Linked DNA regions of Stegostoma tigrinum. The protein of the gene in region 1 binds, or shares a complex with, the protein of each later gene. Links are inferred from orthologs where the notes say so. Each region holds a gene or a part of one and is shown on either strand. Other genes may lie near its edges.

Evidence for each region.
Region 2: ELKS/Rab6-interacting/CAST family member 1-like (region 1) and ppfibp1b share a complex: the UniProt entries of both Homo sapiens proteins name them as parts of the cortical microtubule stabilization complex. The link is inferred for Stegostoma tigrinum from reciprocal best matches to the Homo sapiens genes ERC1 and PPFIBP1.

The regions. Positions count from the first base shown.
Region 1 is NC_081371.1:20,749,925-20,757,976, reverse strand, and holds the start of ELKS/Rab6-interacting/CAST family member 1-like, read right to left. Parts: upstream 3,300-8,052; 5' UTR 3,096-3,299; intron 1-3,095. Other genes in the region: DNA repair protein RAD52 homolog, read left to right, coding at 3,606-3,674. UniProt on the Homo sapiens protein: Regulatory subunit of the IKK complex. Probably recruits IkappaBalpha/NFKBIA to the complex. May be involved in the organization of the cytomatrix at the nerve terminals active zone (CAZ) which regulates neurotransmitter release.
Region 2 is NC_081371.1:46,972,745-46,980,702, forward strand, and holds the start of ppfibp1b (liprin-beta-1b), read left to right. Parts: upstream 1-4,750; 5' UTR 4,751-4,949; intron 4,950-7,958. UniProt on the Homo sapiens protein: May regulate the disassembly of focal adhesions. Did not bind receptor-like tyrosine phosphatases type 2A.

The DNA.
Region 1 (8,052 bases):
TGAAGCTGAGGACCTCTGGAGAATGCCAAGATGGATCATCCATTCAGTACTTCTGGATGAAGATTGTTCGGTTTTGCAATGAGGCTGCTCTGCACAGGACTTACTGCTTCCACATGTCTCTGTCATGCTTGCAAAGGTATTAATTGATGGTTTCTTCACCTTGAAGCTCATTACTCTACACAATCTGGATTAACTATAGAACCTGTCAAATTCCAACTAGTTTAAAATGACATTTTGCATCTTCAATGACACAAAAATCGACTGTCTCATGACCTTCCTGAGCTTCATTACCATAGCAAATCTACATGAATACACTCATTCTCACTTTGAATCCTCCAAAAAGGTGTTAACCTGCATAATTTTAGTCTGCCAGATATGTAACTACAGATATCTTTCACTCCACTAGCTGACATTATATTCCACTCTCAACCATTACACTGCTCGTCTGAAATTTCTCCCCAATTTCAAATTTCTCCTCATACTATTTCACGACCATACTTTTGGCTACACTGTGCAAAACTGCTGCTTGTCTTTCTGCTCAGCATCTGTTCATTCTCAAGTGCAAGGAAAACTCCAGGTTAATACATATTTGAAATAATCAATTAGAACTAGCTTCTATTTGCTCAAATATAACATTACTAAGGACGAATATTACAGCAATCAACAAATATAGTCCTGAACAAACTGCCAAACTAGACATTCACTATTTCTTCACATTTAATGCTACTCCTGCAAGAGCTCTACAGTCAACTTTTTAAATTATAAATTGCAAAATCCTTTTATAAGCTTATGGGTTTAGCAGCAATAAATATAAAAATATGATAATATACACTTGTCATTTATTGAATTCCACAGGTTTCACCAGTGTTTTCCATGTGAATGAAATGGTGTTGGGGTAATCATTCTACCACAATACATATAGCTGGAGGAAGAGGAGGGAAAAAAATACTTGTGGATAACTTAATTTTCTGTTTGGTATGTTTACCTTCTTTCTCCTCAGCTTTGAAATTCTATATCATGATCATACTATGCATTTTTCTTTGCTGAATTGTTGTTGTTACATGCAGTTTTATTAGGTTATAAAATGTCAAGAAGATTAATATTAAAAACATAAGATTACTCAAGTTCCTTTAAAACTTTTGCTGAATTACAAACTTAGATGTCCTAATGGTTTCCATTTACATTCAGATAATAGATGAGCTATACAAAATCAAAAACGGTTTTAGACTCACATGTTCATTTACATTATCAAAGTAATGAAATCATGACTATTGGTCCCAGAAGCCCTCCATTGGGCAGTGAAAAATAGGATAGATTTTCTAGTTTTCTATGCAGCAACTGCTGCTGGAAATAGACTAGTGTCAGGTAGGACTAGAAGCGGCTCAGCTGCGATTCCCTATCGTCAAACATTCCTTCACAACAGAGTTAAAATTCACAGACCTTTAACAGTGACTTGAAAAGTGTTCAGAGAGCAACAGATATCTGTTGCATTACTCTCTAGCAAATAGTGAATGTCTTTGACTGTGGAGATGAGTGTACTGGCCAGAAGAAAACGGAGATACAACTTTAACGAAAACAAAGGTACAAATTTCTGTTCCTTTGATGTTTATCATTTAGTTCCTAACCAATTTCTTAAGAATTCAGCAGGTTCTAATACGCCAATTTTAGTGTCTTTGCAACACCTAAGGTTGTTTTTAAATTTATCAAGCATGACATAGATAATCGGAAATGTTGTTTAAAAGAAACAGAATTCCAGGAATAATGGGAACTGCAGATGCTGGAGAATCCATGATAACAAAGTGTTGAGCTGGATGAACACAGCAGGCCAAGCAGCATCTCAGGAGCACAAAAGCTGACGTTTCGGGCCTAGACCCTTCAGCAGAGAGGGGGATGGGGAGAGGGAACTAGAATAAATAGGGAGAGAGGGGAAGGTAGGCTGAAGATGGAGAGAAAAGAAGATAGGTAGAGAGGCGATATTAGGTGAGGATGTAGGGAGGGGATAGGTCAGTCCAGGGAAGACGGACAGGTCGAGGAGGCAGGATGAGGTGGTAGGTAGGAAATGGAGGTGCGGCTTGAGGTGGGAGGAAGGGATGGGTGAGAGGAAGAACAGGTTAGGGAAGCAGCGACAGGCTGGGCTGGTTTTGGGATGCAGTGGGGGGGAGGGGACAAGCAGGCATACTGACCCTTTAGACTCCCTTTGCAACACGTGGGTTAAAGATCTTCAAGCAACAGGAGGGAACAAAAGGCTAAAATTGTTAGCACATCCAACCTGAATAATTTTACATATACTGAATAGTTTGTCTCTGAATCCAAAAAAAACCAAAATTTCACAGTTCTAATTAACTAATTTAGAACTATTCCAGCAAATGAACCTCACTAATTACTACTTGTAAATTGAAGTCATTTTACAAGATCCAATTCCTATGAGTGCAGAACAATGCCCAGTAATCATTCCAATGTCATCTTACAAACATCTGATTCCTAATACCATTATCTAAACATTAACTAATTATCAGAAAATTAAAAATTATACACATTGAGAAAACCACTAAGTGCAATTTTACACAAGAATCCAAGGTACAATTTAAACAATAAAAACCAACAAATCTGCAGTATATGTAGTTCGCCCAAATCACTCAATCTTCACTCTGTGGCTTGATATCAACTGAAAACTCACTATCCAATTTCCATACTTTCTATCCCTTGTATCTGTTTATCTGAGAGCTGATAACACACTTTATGATGAGAATGAGACTCTCCGCGCATGAACAATGATATGAATAAACCTAGAGCGAAACATACTGGCACTTCTTAGAAAAAGAAAAGGCTGCGTGGGTCCTTGATCATTCTAATTGATGAAATGTCTCTTGTGCTGCCAACGGAATGCCATACAGGTTGTGTCCGCGCCGGGCCACAACTTGTATTTCTGTCTGTCCACTCCTCCCCTCATTGCATGGCAAAGCCTTGAACCCCCTCCCTCCTCTGACTGTGGTAGAGACACCGACACCAAAACGCCACCTTATTCCACTGCCTTTTCCTCCTCGTTGACAGTTGAGAACGTCGCGCGCTGCTACTTCTCCTTGGCACGTACTCACCTGTCACTAACGCAATCCCCATCAGATGTTTAGATGGTGTTTGATCTAGATACTTCGGACCTTATTTGTACCACCGGTACCTCTTTCTCTAAATACCAGTTTTACAGAGATTTCCACTGACACGAACCCTCCTACGAACACCACGTCAATTTCTGTGCACCCCCACCAATACACACACGCAGGGCTTCGTTTCCCAGCCTGCCTTGCGAGCCACCTGGTTGGTGGGGGTGGAGGGCGTGAAGGGGGAAAAATGCAAGTAGAGGAAATCGACCTCCTTCCCAGCAGTCTCTGCGGAATTGTTATCCTTCGTACAACCCAGTCCTTCCACCCGGCAGCCTTCGCGCTGTGAACACCTCCTACGTTTCTGATTGGACGGGACAGAGAGCAGATTAGGATTGGTTCGCGTGATTTATTTTCCCGACAGACCTTGCGTCGTAATATTGCGTTTGGATGATTTGGCGGTTTTGAGTAGTCTCGTGTTTAGTTATATACGTCTTCGTTTATACTGAAATGTCTGAAGCACGGAGTGAACTGTGTCTTCGCTGTGGTCGGCACACTCCAATTGTCTGTTTTGGGCAGGTTGGTGGTATGAAGACTCCATCAGGTGCTTTGACACCTGTGCGCTAATTCGGAGTAATCGCCTTTCTTTTCACTTCTATAAACAGCGAGTTCACTTTAGAATCCATGTGAGCATTTTATCCCCAGACAGTAAGGATGACGAATTATTCGCATTTTGAAGAGCACTGCCAATTATTTGAGCAGTTTAGATAGTTCTCAAAACTGACCATTTCAAGTTGGAATAAAGGCCAACATTTAGCAAACAAATGGATATTTGTGTTCATTAAATTTACGGACTTGTAAAGTTCCCATTTTTATGGGCACCTGTCCCTGGCCTAAAGCAACAGTTTCTCTTCAAGTACTTAATTGCTAAAGGAATATTCAAAAGTTGGGGTGGTGAGTGAGATATCTTCTATATCTTTAACACAGAGCAAATGCTTTGTCTTTAGGTTACTGTTGGAAGTGTTCCAGAGTAAACGTTCTAGAGATTCAGAATTTTGGAAAGGGGTGATCCTTAAAATTTATAAAATATGCCATTCCTATGTTAATAGTTCTTTAAAGTGGGAATTAAAAGTGCAAACCATACTGTACCCGGTATGGCTTCCTCTACACTGGGGAAACTAAGTGGAGGCTTGGGAACCGCTTTGCAGAACACTTCTGCTTGGTTCGCAATAAAAAACTGCACCTCCTAGTCGCGAACCATTTTAACTTCCCCTCTCATTCCTCCAACGACATGCCCATCGTGGGCCTCCTGCAGTGCCACAATGATGCCACCTGAAGGTTGCAGGAACAGCAACTCATATTCCACTTGGGAACCCTGCAGTCCAATGGTATCAATGTGGATTTCACTAGCTTCAAAATCTCCCCTTCCCCCACTGCATCCCAAAACCAGCCCAGCTCGTTTCCCTCCCCCAACTGCATCCTAAAACCAGCCCAATCTGTCCCTGCCTCCCTAACCTGTTCTTCCTCTCACCCATCCCTTCCTCCCAGCTCAAGCCGCACCTCCATCTCCTGCCTAATAACCTCATCCCGCCTCCTTGACTTGTCTGTCTTCCCTGGACTGACCTATCCCCTCCCTACCTCCCCACCTATACTCTCTTCTCCACCTATCTTCTTTTCTCTCCATCTTCGGTCCGCCTTCCCCTCTCTCCCTATTTATTCCAGAGCCCCCCTCCCCATTCCCCTCTGATGAAGGGTCTACACCTGAAACGTCAGCTTTTGTGTTCCTGAGATGCTGCTTGGCCTGCTGTGTTCATCCAGCTTCACACTTTGTTATCTTGAATAAAACTTTTGAACAGGTTTCAAGACCTCAAGAATGTAAGGTTTAGAATTGTTTTACGGTTTACTGTGTTGGTAAATGTGAATGAACATGCCATAACACTGTCACCACTCCATGTCCAATTACAAATTGCTGCCTTTAGGTGTTTTACTTTTACAAGTGTACATTAGAATTTTTAAACAAAACAACTGGAAGGAAAGTTTTTTTTTATAAGATCCATAACTCTGCAACAAACTTTGTTACAAAAAATCTTAACGCAACCTCTGGTGTCATTGTCAAAGAAGAACTTTAGTGTCTCTCCTGTTTTTCTGTTGCTCTCTTTTGTTCCTGTTGCTTTTTTGGGTCCTCTGCTCTCCCATGTTCCTAAGTGCCCTTCATTGGTTGGGTTTCTACTCTTTCTGCTTCTGTTGTGCTCTCATGCTGTTATGTTTATTTAAAAAGTCTGTCCTCTCCATTTTTTTTTGTGCTTCTGCCAAGGATAGACAGGCTCTGTAGCAAAAAAACAAGTATTTGCAGATAAGTATGCTTCCTTAAAGTATTTGTTACATGCAATAACATCAAAGTATTATTGTCATGAATGGGATTGTCTTTGATTTAACAATTTATTTGACAATGGGTTCTTTAATCAGCATGCTTTGTCTTTAGAAATAGTAACAATATTTCATTGTAAATGCATTTCATTTAGTAAATCTGATAGTCAAGACCTTGCATTTAGTCATTTCAATTTGATATTTCCTTTCCTTCAGATTTGTTTTCAGTCAGCAAGTCAATCTCTAACTTTTTCCCAACTCAAGTTTGCATTATCTCAAGGAACGACTATGCACAATATTCGATGGATATACTATCTTCTTTACTCCCATTGTAGCAAACTTATTTTGAAGTGTCTCATTAAAAAAATACCATTTCAAGCTCCATTAGCTCAGTTGACTGATATGTGATGCAAGCAGTGTGAGTTGAATTGTTGCACCAGCTGCTATTACCATGAGTCTCCTTCTCAACCCCTCCCCTGCCTGAGGTGTGGTAATACTCTGGTTAAATGACTACAAGTCATCTCTTCCCCCTCTTCAATGAGAGCACAGCCCTACGGTTGTACGGCTGCAACAACTTGACTTTCACATCTGTAAGAAGCCATGGCCTTGATGGGTCTGTCACTTCCTGCAAGTAGTAGAATCAAAGTACTCATCAGCGGAGTGTCTTCACAGTTGAATAATGAAGATTTGAACCTTATAGGTGGATTTTAAAAGATGTATCATTTGTGGGGTCCCTGCGTAAGCATTAGCATTTCAATTTCATTGTGCTAAGAGATTGTGTCAATCTGACTCCTTCCTGATCATCTCCCCTTATTAGGGCAAAGCGACACTCTTTTCACTTTTCCACTTGTGTAATCATACACAATCAAGCAGCATTTTCCACCCCCCCCCCCCCCCCCCCCAACCGATCTAAAATACCCATGGCACTTTGCATCTATTATCTGCTGTAACTTAAATCCCCTGTTTCCAATTCTTCAAATTATGTGCAGTCATAGCAAGGGAAATGCAGATCGCTAAAGGAGAGAGAGGGAGAAACCAGCAATCTAATCCAATTATATGCAATTTTATCTCCAAACACACATTTAGTGGCAGCAGACATGTTTCTCAAAACTTCTGGCAACAAACCTCAACCTGGCTTTGTAGATTAGGGTTTAGTGAGAGGGAGGAAATGAAGAAAGTCTGTACTGGTAGAGAAATATTGTTGGACTAATTGATAGGATTAAAGGCTGATAAATCACTAGGACTTGAAAATCTACACAAGTATTTGAAGTGGCTGCAGAAATAATGAATGCTTTAGTGGTCAATCATCTGTGATTCTTTAGACTTGGGAGTCTAATCTTGAAAAAGAGCTGTGGAGAGGGATTTATAGACTTGTGGGTCTAATGTCAGTAGTTAGGGGTAAGGGGGGAGAGAAATGCTAGAGTTTGTTATCTCAGATTTTATAGCATAGCACTTAAAGAACAGCGGTAGATCCAGAAATAACACGGACTTGCAAAAGGAAAATCAGGGTTGACAGATCCGCTGGAATCCTGAAGAATGAAACCAGTAGTGCTGATCAGGAGAGCTAGTGGATTTGACTTATTTTGATTGTTTTTTTTCAGTAGACTTTTGACAAAGTCTCATGAAATTAACATATAAAATTTAAAGCTCATGGGTTTAGCGAAGCATATTGAGGTGGATAGAAGACCGGTTAGCCTATTGAAAACAGTAGGAATAAATGGGTCTTTTCTGAAAAGTAGATACAGACTGGTGGGGTGTTGCAGGGAGTGGTAATGTGACTCCAAATATTGATAATGTTTTAATGATTTCCATTCTTCACAATCGTTTCCTCCAAAACTTGCCTCTTGAAATGCTGTATAAATTTGAATGATATTTCTTTATTTAAATTCTGTGCTTTCTTATGCCAAACACACAGCCCTCTCCTTGAAAAATCAATGTTAATATTTACCTGTAAGAGTGCCTTGTTCCTCCCGTCGTTGTGGCCTTTCTTCAGTTATCTGACTGTTCTGGTCAATGCTTCACTAGACATAAGATTACCTGAATTGACCCCTACCCTTTGAACTATCAGATCCTCTCCCCTGATCCTAAATAATGGACTATCTGTGGGGACAATAATATTGTCACACTTTTTTTTAAAAAATAGTCCTTCCATGAGGTTTGGTATAAAACTGCTAATGGAATTGCACAAACATGGCCCTGGGTGATGTACCATCATTAAGTAAGTCTTCAAGTGGAAAAAGGAAAGATAAGATTGACAAAAGTTTTTAGTGAAGCAATAAATTTAATTTTTTCACTTTATCTAGTCAAAAGTTTGCAAGTAACTGTTTTGTCAGTCAACCCCATGTGCTGTTAAGGTGCGACTGTTAACTGATTCAGTGCAACAATGAAATGAGCTAGTCATGACCTGACCCATTTTCACCAAATTATACAATATTTTCATACTGTTTATTCTCATCATACTCATCAGAACCACCCGTATGAGTTACTTAAATTCTCCATTCCTGGTCTTTGGACAAAGCCTTGTGTAATGTTACTTTTTTATTATTACTGAAAATACTAATCAATCAATCCTCTGCATCTCTCAGGTTTA
Region 2 (7,958 bases), about 26 Mb from region 1:
GGTCAACACACTTGAATGTTGCAAAATGTTTAAGAGGGTCAAGGTTGCACATAACTTTCATCTTCTTTGAAGCCCTATCCATGGTGAGTCAATTTTATTTGGAAATTAAGTAAATCAGGTAAGGTTCATGACAAGGTGAATGATCATGCTGTGTTGAAAAATAAGCCTCATGCAATGTTCTGCTTCATTCCCATTAGGGGAAGGAAACTTGAGCCATTGAAATTTCATAACAAGGAGTTGCTAGAAGAGACCAAGGTTGTATTGTTTTAAAGAAAGGCTTCTTCGCATAAGGAGCTGCAAGAGTTTGGAATTGTCTACTCAAAAGAGCTGTGAGTACTCAATCTTTGTTAATATTCAAGACTGAGATTAATAGATTTTTGTGTACTCAGTGAGTTAAGGGATTTGGAGAGAGAGCAGAAGGTAAGTTGAGGGAAAAGATCAGCCATAATCTTCGTTGGATGGAAGAATAGGCTTGAAGAGTCAAATGTCTTCCATCTGCTTCTATTTTTCTCTCTCTCTTTGGAAAAGTTGTTGTGTGTGCATTGAGAGATATAGAAGAGAATATAATTACATTTTTCGGAGACCTGTCAAAATCTTGACTTGCCCTCCCTATTGGCATTAAGGGTCTACCTACAGCAAATGGACTATAGCAATCAAGAAGACAGTTCACCATCACTTTCCCAACTAGGGATGGGCAATAAGTCCTGGCACTGCCAACAATGTTCAAATTGCATAAATGAATAAAAAAAATTTCCTGAAAAAAGAAACCGGGCAAACACAAGAAAGTCAAATTTCAAACCATCTCAAATTTCACATTTTTACATTTATTCAGATGAATGCAAGAGGAAAAGATTTGACAACATGAGAAAATGGTGAAAGATCATTTGCATAGTTGGTAAATTGTTGACAGAGATATTATGTTCAATTTTAACCAGCACAAAAACTCAGCTGCACAGTTAACACTGTGAGAAGAATGTCAAGGAACGTAACATTATATGAAGGGCGCAGTCTCCATTATAATGTAGGAGAATGACAACACTTCACCAGTATTTTGTTCACAACCGATGTTAGGGATTTCCTGAGGCCTATAATGGGTAAGTTAACAGCAGAAGGGTTTTCAAATGCCGTACCTGTGCTAATAAACTGAATGCTGGTTTATAACTGGTAGATGGTGATGCAATGGTATGTCACCATGCTAGTAGTACTAGAGTCTCAGGCTCATGTTGTGGGGACATATCCTCATGGTTCACTCAAACCATCCAAAATTCCATAGCTAATCCTTTTAGAACTCACTGTACTCCACACTTAAATTTAAAGTAAGCAGAAGAGTGCATGACCATATTTCTGGGAATGATGAGAGTTCTGACATAGGGGAGGCCTTATAATCGCAGCCAAAAGGACTGGTAAATATACTGCTCATACTCTGCTGCCTATGAGCAGTGATTCAAATGCAAATGCTCTGAATCAAACAGTGTATCATTTTTCAGAGTGCTGATTAGGACGTAAAAGAAAGATAATGTGATCACTGACTTAAATCACAGTGGTGTGACAACAGCTTGCATTTAAGTAATATTTTTATTAGTCACTTGGTACTTCAGAACTTGAATATTGCTGAAAAGAGAGAGATGTTGTCCAGGTTTTTCATTTTACACACATTAGGATAGATACAAGACTGACAAATTTCAAGTAATCACGGCACACTAGCTTGGAGAGCCGTTAGTCCTGCATTGCTTTCTTTACAGCAATGCATTAGTGAAATGGAGTAAATTAGCTGACCAATCAGAGCCTTTTCTCCATGATATAAATCATTATAACGGTTTGAAACCTGGCATTCTTGCATTTGACCTGATGAGTACAAAGCGAACAGTTTCACCAACATGTTCAGCAACATTGAAAGGTTTTAAATACTCAGTCTTTGATAATATTCAAGACTGAGACCATTAAGATTTTTGAGTACTCAGGAAATTCGGGGATTTGGGTTGAGAGCAGAAGGTAAATTGAGGGAAAAGATCAGGCATATCTTATTGGATGGACGAAAAGGCTTGAAGAGTCAAACAGCCTTCCTCTGCTTCCATTTCTCACTGTTTTGGAAAAGTGTAACTTTTGCCCTGAGAGGTATAGAAGAGAATATATTAAGTATTGTGGGTCTACCTATAGCGAAGGGACTGCAGCAGTTCAAGAAGATTATTCATCACCACTTTCCTATGGGCAACTAGGGATGGGCAATAAATGCTAGTGCAGCCAGCACATCCAGATTCCATTACTGAATAATAAAATGAAAGTTGCTGAGAAGAAGCACATACTGCCAAAGGTATTCCTCTTGAATTTATCAGGATGAACAGAAAAATGCCAAATTTCAAACAATCTCAAACTTCACATTTTGCATGAAAAGATTCAACAACATGAGAAAATGGTGAAAGATCATTCTAATAGTTGGCAAATTGTTGACAGGGGGATATTAGGCTCAATTTTAACCCAAGTCTTTTTATAGGAATTGAACACAGAGCTATGTAAAGAGACATTAGTGCAGACGGTCAAAAGTTAGGTCAGAGAAGCAGATTATAACGACCATCTCAAAGAAGGAGGGAAAGGCAGAGATGTGGAAATGTTCAAAGAGGGAATGTTAGAGTTACAACATGTCATAAATGGGAAAAACCAGTGAAGACTTAACTGATATATTTTCAAGGTAACAGAAGTGTGGAAGTGGGTGAACATAGCAGGCCAAGCAGCATCTTAGGAGCACAAAAGCTGACGTTTCGGGCCTAGACCCTTCATCAGAAAAGGCCTTTTCTGATGAGGGGTCTAGGCCCGAAACGTCAGCTTTTGTGCTCCTTAGATGCCGCTAGGCCTGCTGTGTTCATCCAGCTCTACACTTTGCTATCTCAGATTCTCCAGCAACTGCAGTTTCCATTATCTCCGTTATATTTTCAAGTCAGGATTGTATGGGGCTTGAAAGTAAATTTCCAGGAAGTGGTGTTCTCATGTATCTGGTGTCCTTGTCCTTCTTGATCACAGAGATTGAGGTATTTAGAAAATGCTGTCTAAGAAGCCTTGCTGAGTTGTCACAGTACATCTTTTAGATAGAATAGATTGGTGTCTGTTGAATCAGTGGTTGACTCTTAAGTTCTGTTAAGTTAAAAGGCAAAAGCAAGAAGGAGAGGCAGACCCAGTCTAACTTCTGTGGAGTATTCATCATCAGGATTTGTCATTGACAAAGACATCAAAGGAGAAATGGGGAAACAGGCTCGACGGGCTAAATGGCCTCCTCCTGCTCCTATTTTCCATATTGCTCTGTGGTCCTACCGAGATTCTCCTTCAAGGGGTAATGCTTTGCACCCACTCGAACAATAAAATCTTAGAAACCCTATAGTGCAGAAAAAGGCCATTCAGCCTAGTGAGCCATTTGGATCAAGGTCAATTGCAGAAGGATTCTTTCGATACTGCAGCACTCCCTCAAACAGGGCAGCACTCCTTCAGTAACGCTCCTCAGGATTCATTAAAAATGTGCTGCCATTAGTGTGGCAGACAAAATTTCCTATGAATGGATGTTCTTTTACAAGTGTCAACAAGTAGTTCAAGCTAGTGTATTGCATCTAATTCTGCAGACAATCCTCTAATAAGGATGTCAAAGTGTAATTTTGGGACAAAAATAGAAATTGCTGGAAAAGCTCAGCAGGTTCAGCAGCATCTGTGGAGCGAAATCAGAGTTAATCATTTGGATTGAGTGACCCTTCCTCAGAATTTAGAGATAACGTTTCGGGTAAAGTGGCCCTTCCTCAGAATTAGAGTTGAGTAATAAATGCTGACCATTTCAGTAATTTCCAAAAACCACAAATTAATAAAAAGGATCATGACAATGTGGTGCTGATTTATTGTGATGGCAACAGGGATGAGGGACTTTGGTTACGTGGAACGATGACAGCAGCTCTACTCCTGTACTTAGAAGAATGTATAGCAACTTTATTGAAACATACATGATTCTAAGGAGACTTAAAGCAATGGCGCAGTTGCTCAGTAGTTGGCACTGCTGTCTCCAGTACCAGAGACTCAGGTTTTGAGCAACTGTCTATGTGGAGTTTGTACGTTCTTACTGTGTCTGCATGGGTTTCTGTAGCATGCTTCAGTTTCCTCCCACAGTCCAAAAATGTGCAAGTTAGGTGGATTGACCATGCTAAGTTGTCTGTAGTGCCCAGGGATGTGCAGGCAAGGTGGGTTAGCTATTGTAAATTAAGGATTATAGGGGAGGGGCCAGGTTTGGGTGAGATGCTTTTCGGAGGGTTGGTGCAGACTTGATGGGCTGAATGGCCTTTTTCTGCACTGTAGGGTTTCTAAGATTTTATTGTTCGAGTGGGTGCAAAGCATTACCCCTTGAAGGAGAATCTCGGTAGGACCATAGAACAATATGGAAAATAGGAGCGGGGGAGGCCATTCAGCCCTTCGAGCCTGTTTCCCCATTTCTCCTTTGATGTCTTTGTCAATGACAAATCCTGATGATGAATACTCCACAAAAGTTAGACTGGGTCTGCCTCTCCTTCTTGCTTTCGCTTTTTAACTTTACTGCTCATTGATACACTCCCTCGGCACTCCAACTCACTGCCACAGTCACCGCCTCAACAAGGGACCCCGCCCTCGCCACGAGACAGACAGCCGGCGGGACCAATCGCAAGGATGAGTAGCGGACAGTAGGCGGGGCCAGGTGGGGGCCAATCGATGGTGGCTAAGGGGCGGGGTTTGCCGGACGTCACGTGACGGGCGGGTGGTAGGCTGGCGGCCGAAGGAGTGAGAGACTGTATTGTGTGAGGTGGGGCGGCTGGCCGAGTAACCGACCGATTGGTGTCCACTCCCCTCACGCCCGTTCCGCGGGGCGGAGAGAAGGTGACTTCCATCGCGTGGTGCCGCCGCCCCTCCTCCTCCACCACCTCCTGAAAGAGGGTCTCTGCCTGTGGCAGGTAGGTGGGCGCGGAGATCCTTGCGGCCCTGCTCCCTCCCGCTTGACGGGTTTCAGGAGGAGGCCGGAGGGTCAGGGAATAGGGCCGGCAGCTGGCATGGCGGCGGGAACCGTTAAATCAGGCGCGCGCTTCTGCCCCCGGGGCATCGGGCACTACCAGCAGAGCAACCCCTTAGCTCCCGTTCATCCCCACCCCGCCCCCGGGTCGGAATACCCTCACCATGTCCAATATAGACCCGTCACCTTTCTTCCCAGCCCCGCCGTGTGGTCCGAATCCACACCCCCAGCCCCCGTCCGACATAGACCCGTCACATTCTCTTCTCTTTTCCCCCTCCCCGCTGTCCGAATGCTCCACCATTTCCGATATTCTCCAACCTCGCCCCGACGCTTTCCCCTCCTCCGCACCCCCCCCCCCGCCTGCCTGACATTCCCCCCGCCCCGTTCCCCTCCCCCTCGTCCTGTCTGCCACTTCACGCCCCCGTCCTGTCTGACTGCCCTCTCACACCACCACCCCCCCCCCCCGTCCCGTCCCGTCCCATCCCATCCCGTCCCGTCCGCCTTCTCTTCCCCGCTCCTCCCCTCCCTCACCAACCCCCGGCCCCCTCCACTCTAATCCTCCCGACACTCCACGCCTCTCCCCACCCCCCCCCCACCCCGACCCCCTCCTCCTCCCCCCCACCCCGACCCCTTCCTCCCCCCCACCCCGACCCCTTCCTCCCGACCCCTTCCTCCCGACCCCTTCCTCCCGACCCCTTCCTCCTCCCCCCCCCCCACCCCGACCCCTTCCTCCTCCCCCCCCCCACCCCGACCCCTTCCTCCTCCCCCCCCCACCCCGACCCCTTCCTCCTCCCCCCCCCACCCCGACCCCTTCCTCCTCCGACCCCCCCGCCGCTTTCCCCCCGCAACCCCATCCTCTCCCCCCGACCCCATCCTCTCCCCCCGACCCCATCCTCTCCCCCCGACCCCATCCTCTCCCCCCGACCCCGACCCCATCCTCTCCCCCCCCGACGCCATCCTCTTCTCTCCCCCCCCCGACCCCCTCCTCTCCCCCCCCCCGACCCCCTCCTCTCCCCCCCCCCGACCCCCTCCTCTCCCCCCCCCGACCCCCTCCTCTCCCCCCCCCCGACCCCCTCCTCTCCCCCCCCCCGACCCCCTCCTCTCCCCCCCCCGACCCCCTCCTCTCCCCCCCCCCGACCCCCTCCTCTCCCCCCCCCCGACCCCCTCCTCTCCCCCCCCCGACCCCCTCCTCTCCCCCCCCCCGACCCCCTCCTCTCCCCCCCCCGACCCCCTCCTCTCCCCCCCCCGACCCCCTCCTCTCCCCCCCCCGACCCCCTCCTCTCCCCCTCCTCTCCCCCTCCTCTCCCCCTCCTCTCCCCCCCCGACCCCCTCCTCTCCCCCCTCCTCTCCCCCTCCTCTCCCCCCCCGACCCCCTCCTCTCCCCCCCCGACCCCCTCCTCTCCCCCCCCGACCCCCTCCTCTCCCCCCCCGACCCCCTCCTCTCCCCCCCCGACCCCCTCCTCCCCCCCCCACCCCGACGCCATCCTCTCCCCCCCTGCCATCCTGTCCCCCCCGACCCCCTCCTCTCCCGAACCCCTCCTCTCCCCCCCCCGACCCCCTCCTCCCCCCCCCCACCCCGACGCCATCCTCTCCCCCCCTGCCATCCTGTCCCCCCCCCCTCCTCTCCCCCCCCGACCCCCTCCTCTCCCCCCCCGACCCCCTCCTCTCCCCCCCCGACCCCCTCCTCTCCCCCCCCCCCACTCCGACGCCATCCTCTCCCCCCCCCGCCATCCTGTCCCCCCCGACCCCCTCCTCTCCCGAACCCCTCCTCTCCCCCCCCCCACCCCGACGCCATCCTCTCCCCCCCTGCCATCCTCTCCCCCCCTCCTCCTCTCCCCCCCCGACGCCATCCTCCCCCCCCCCCCCCCCCGGCGCCATCCTCTTCCCCCCCCCGGCGCCATCCTCTTTCCCCCCCCCGGCGCCATCCTCTTTCCCCCCCCCGGCGCCATCCTCTTTCCCCCCCCCGGCGCCATCCTCTTCCCCCCCCCCGGCGCCATCCTCTTCCCCCCCCCCGGCGCCATCCTCTTCCCCCCCCCCGGCGCCATCCTCTTCCCCCCCCCCCGGCGCCATCCTCTCCCCCCCCCCGGCGCCATCCTCTCCCCCCTCTCCTCCCCCCCCCCCTCCTCCCCCCCCCCCTCCTCTCCCCCCCCCCTCCTCTCTCCCCCCCCCTCCTCTCTCCCCCCCCCTCCTCTCTCCCCCCCCCTCCTCTCTCCCCCCCCTCCTCTCTCCCCCCCCTCCTCTCTCCCCCCCCTCCTCTCTCCCCCCCCTCCTCTCTCCCCCCCCCTCCTCTCTCCCCCCCCCTCCTCTCTCCCCCCCCCTCCTCTCTCCCCCCCCTCCTCTCTCCCCCCCCTCCTCTCTCCCCCCCCTCCTCTCTCCCCCCCCTCCTCTCTCCCCCCCCTCCTCTCTCCCCCCCCTCCTCTCTCCCCCCCCTCCTCTCTCCCCCCCCTCCTCTCTCCCCCCCCCTCCTCTCTCCCCCCCCTCCTCTCTCCCCCCCCTCCTCTCTCCCCCCCCTCCTCTCTCCCCCCCCCTCCTCCCTCTCCCCCCCCCTCCTCCCTCTTCCCCCCCCCTCCTCCCTCTTCCCCCCCCTCCTCCCTCTTCCCCCCCCCTCCTCCCTCTTCCCCCCCCCTCCTCCCTCTTCCCCCCCCCACCCCCTCTTCCCCCCCCGACCCCCTCTTCCCCCCCCGACCCCCTCTTCCCCCCCCGACCCCCTCTTCCCCCCCCGACCCCCTCTTCCCCCCCCGACCCCCTCTTCCCCCCCCGACCCCCTCTTCCCCCCCCGACCCCCTCTTCCCCCCCCGACCCCCTCTTCCCCCCCCGACCCCCTCTTCCCCCCCCGACCCCCTCTTCCCCCCCCGACCCCCTCTTCCCCCCCCGACCCCCTCTTCCCCCCCCGACCCCCTCTTCCCCCCCCGACCCCCTCTTCCCCCCCCCGACCCCCTCTTCCCCCCCCCGA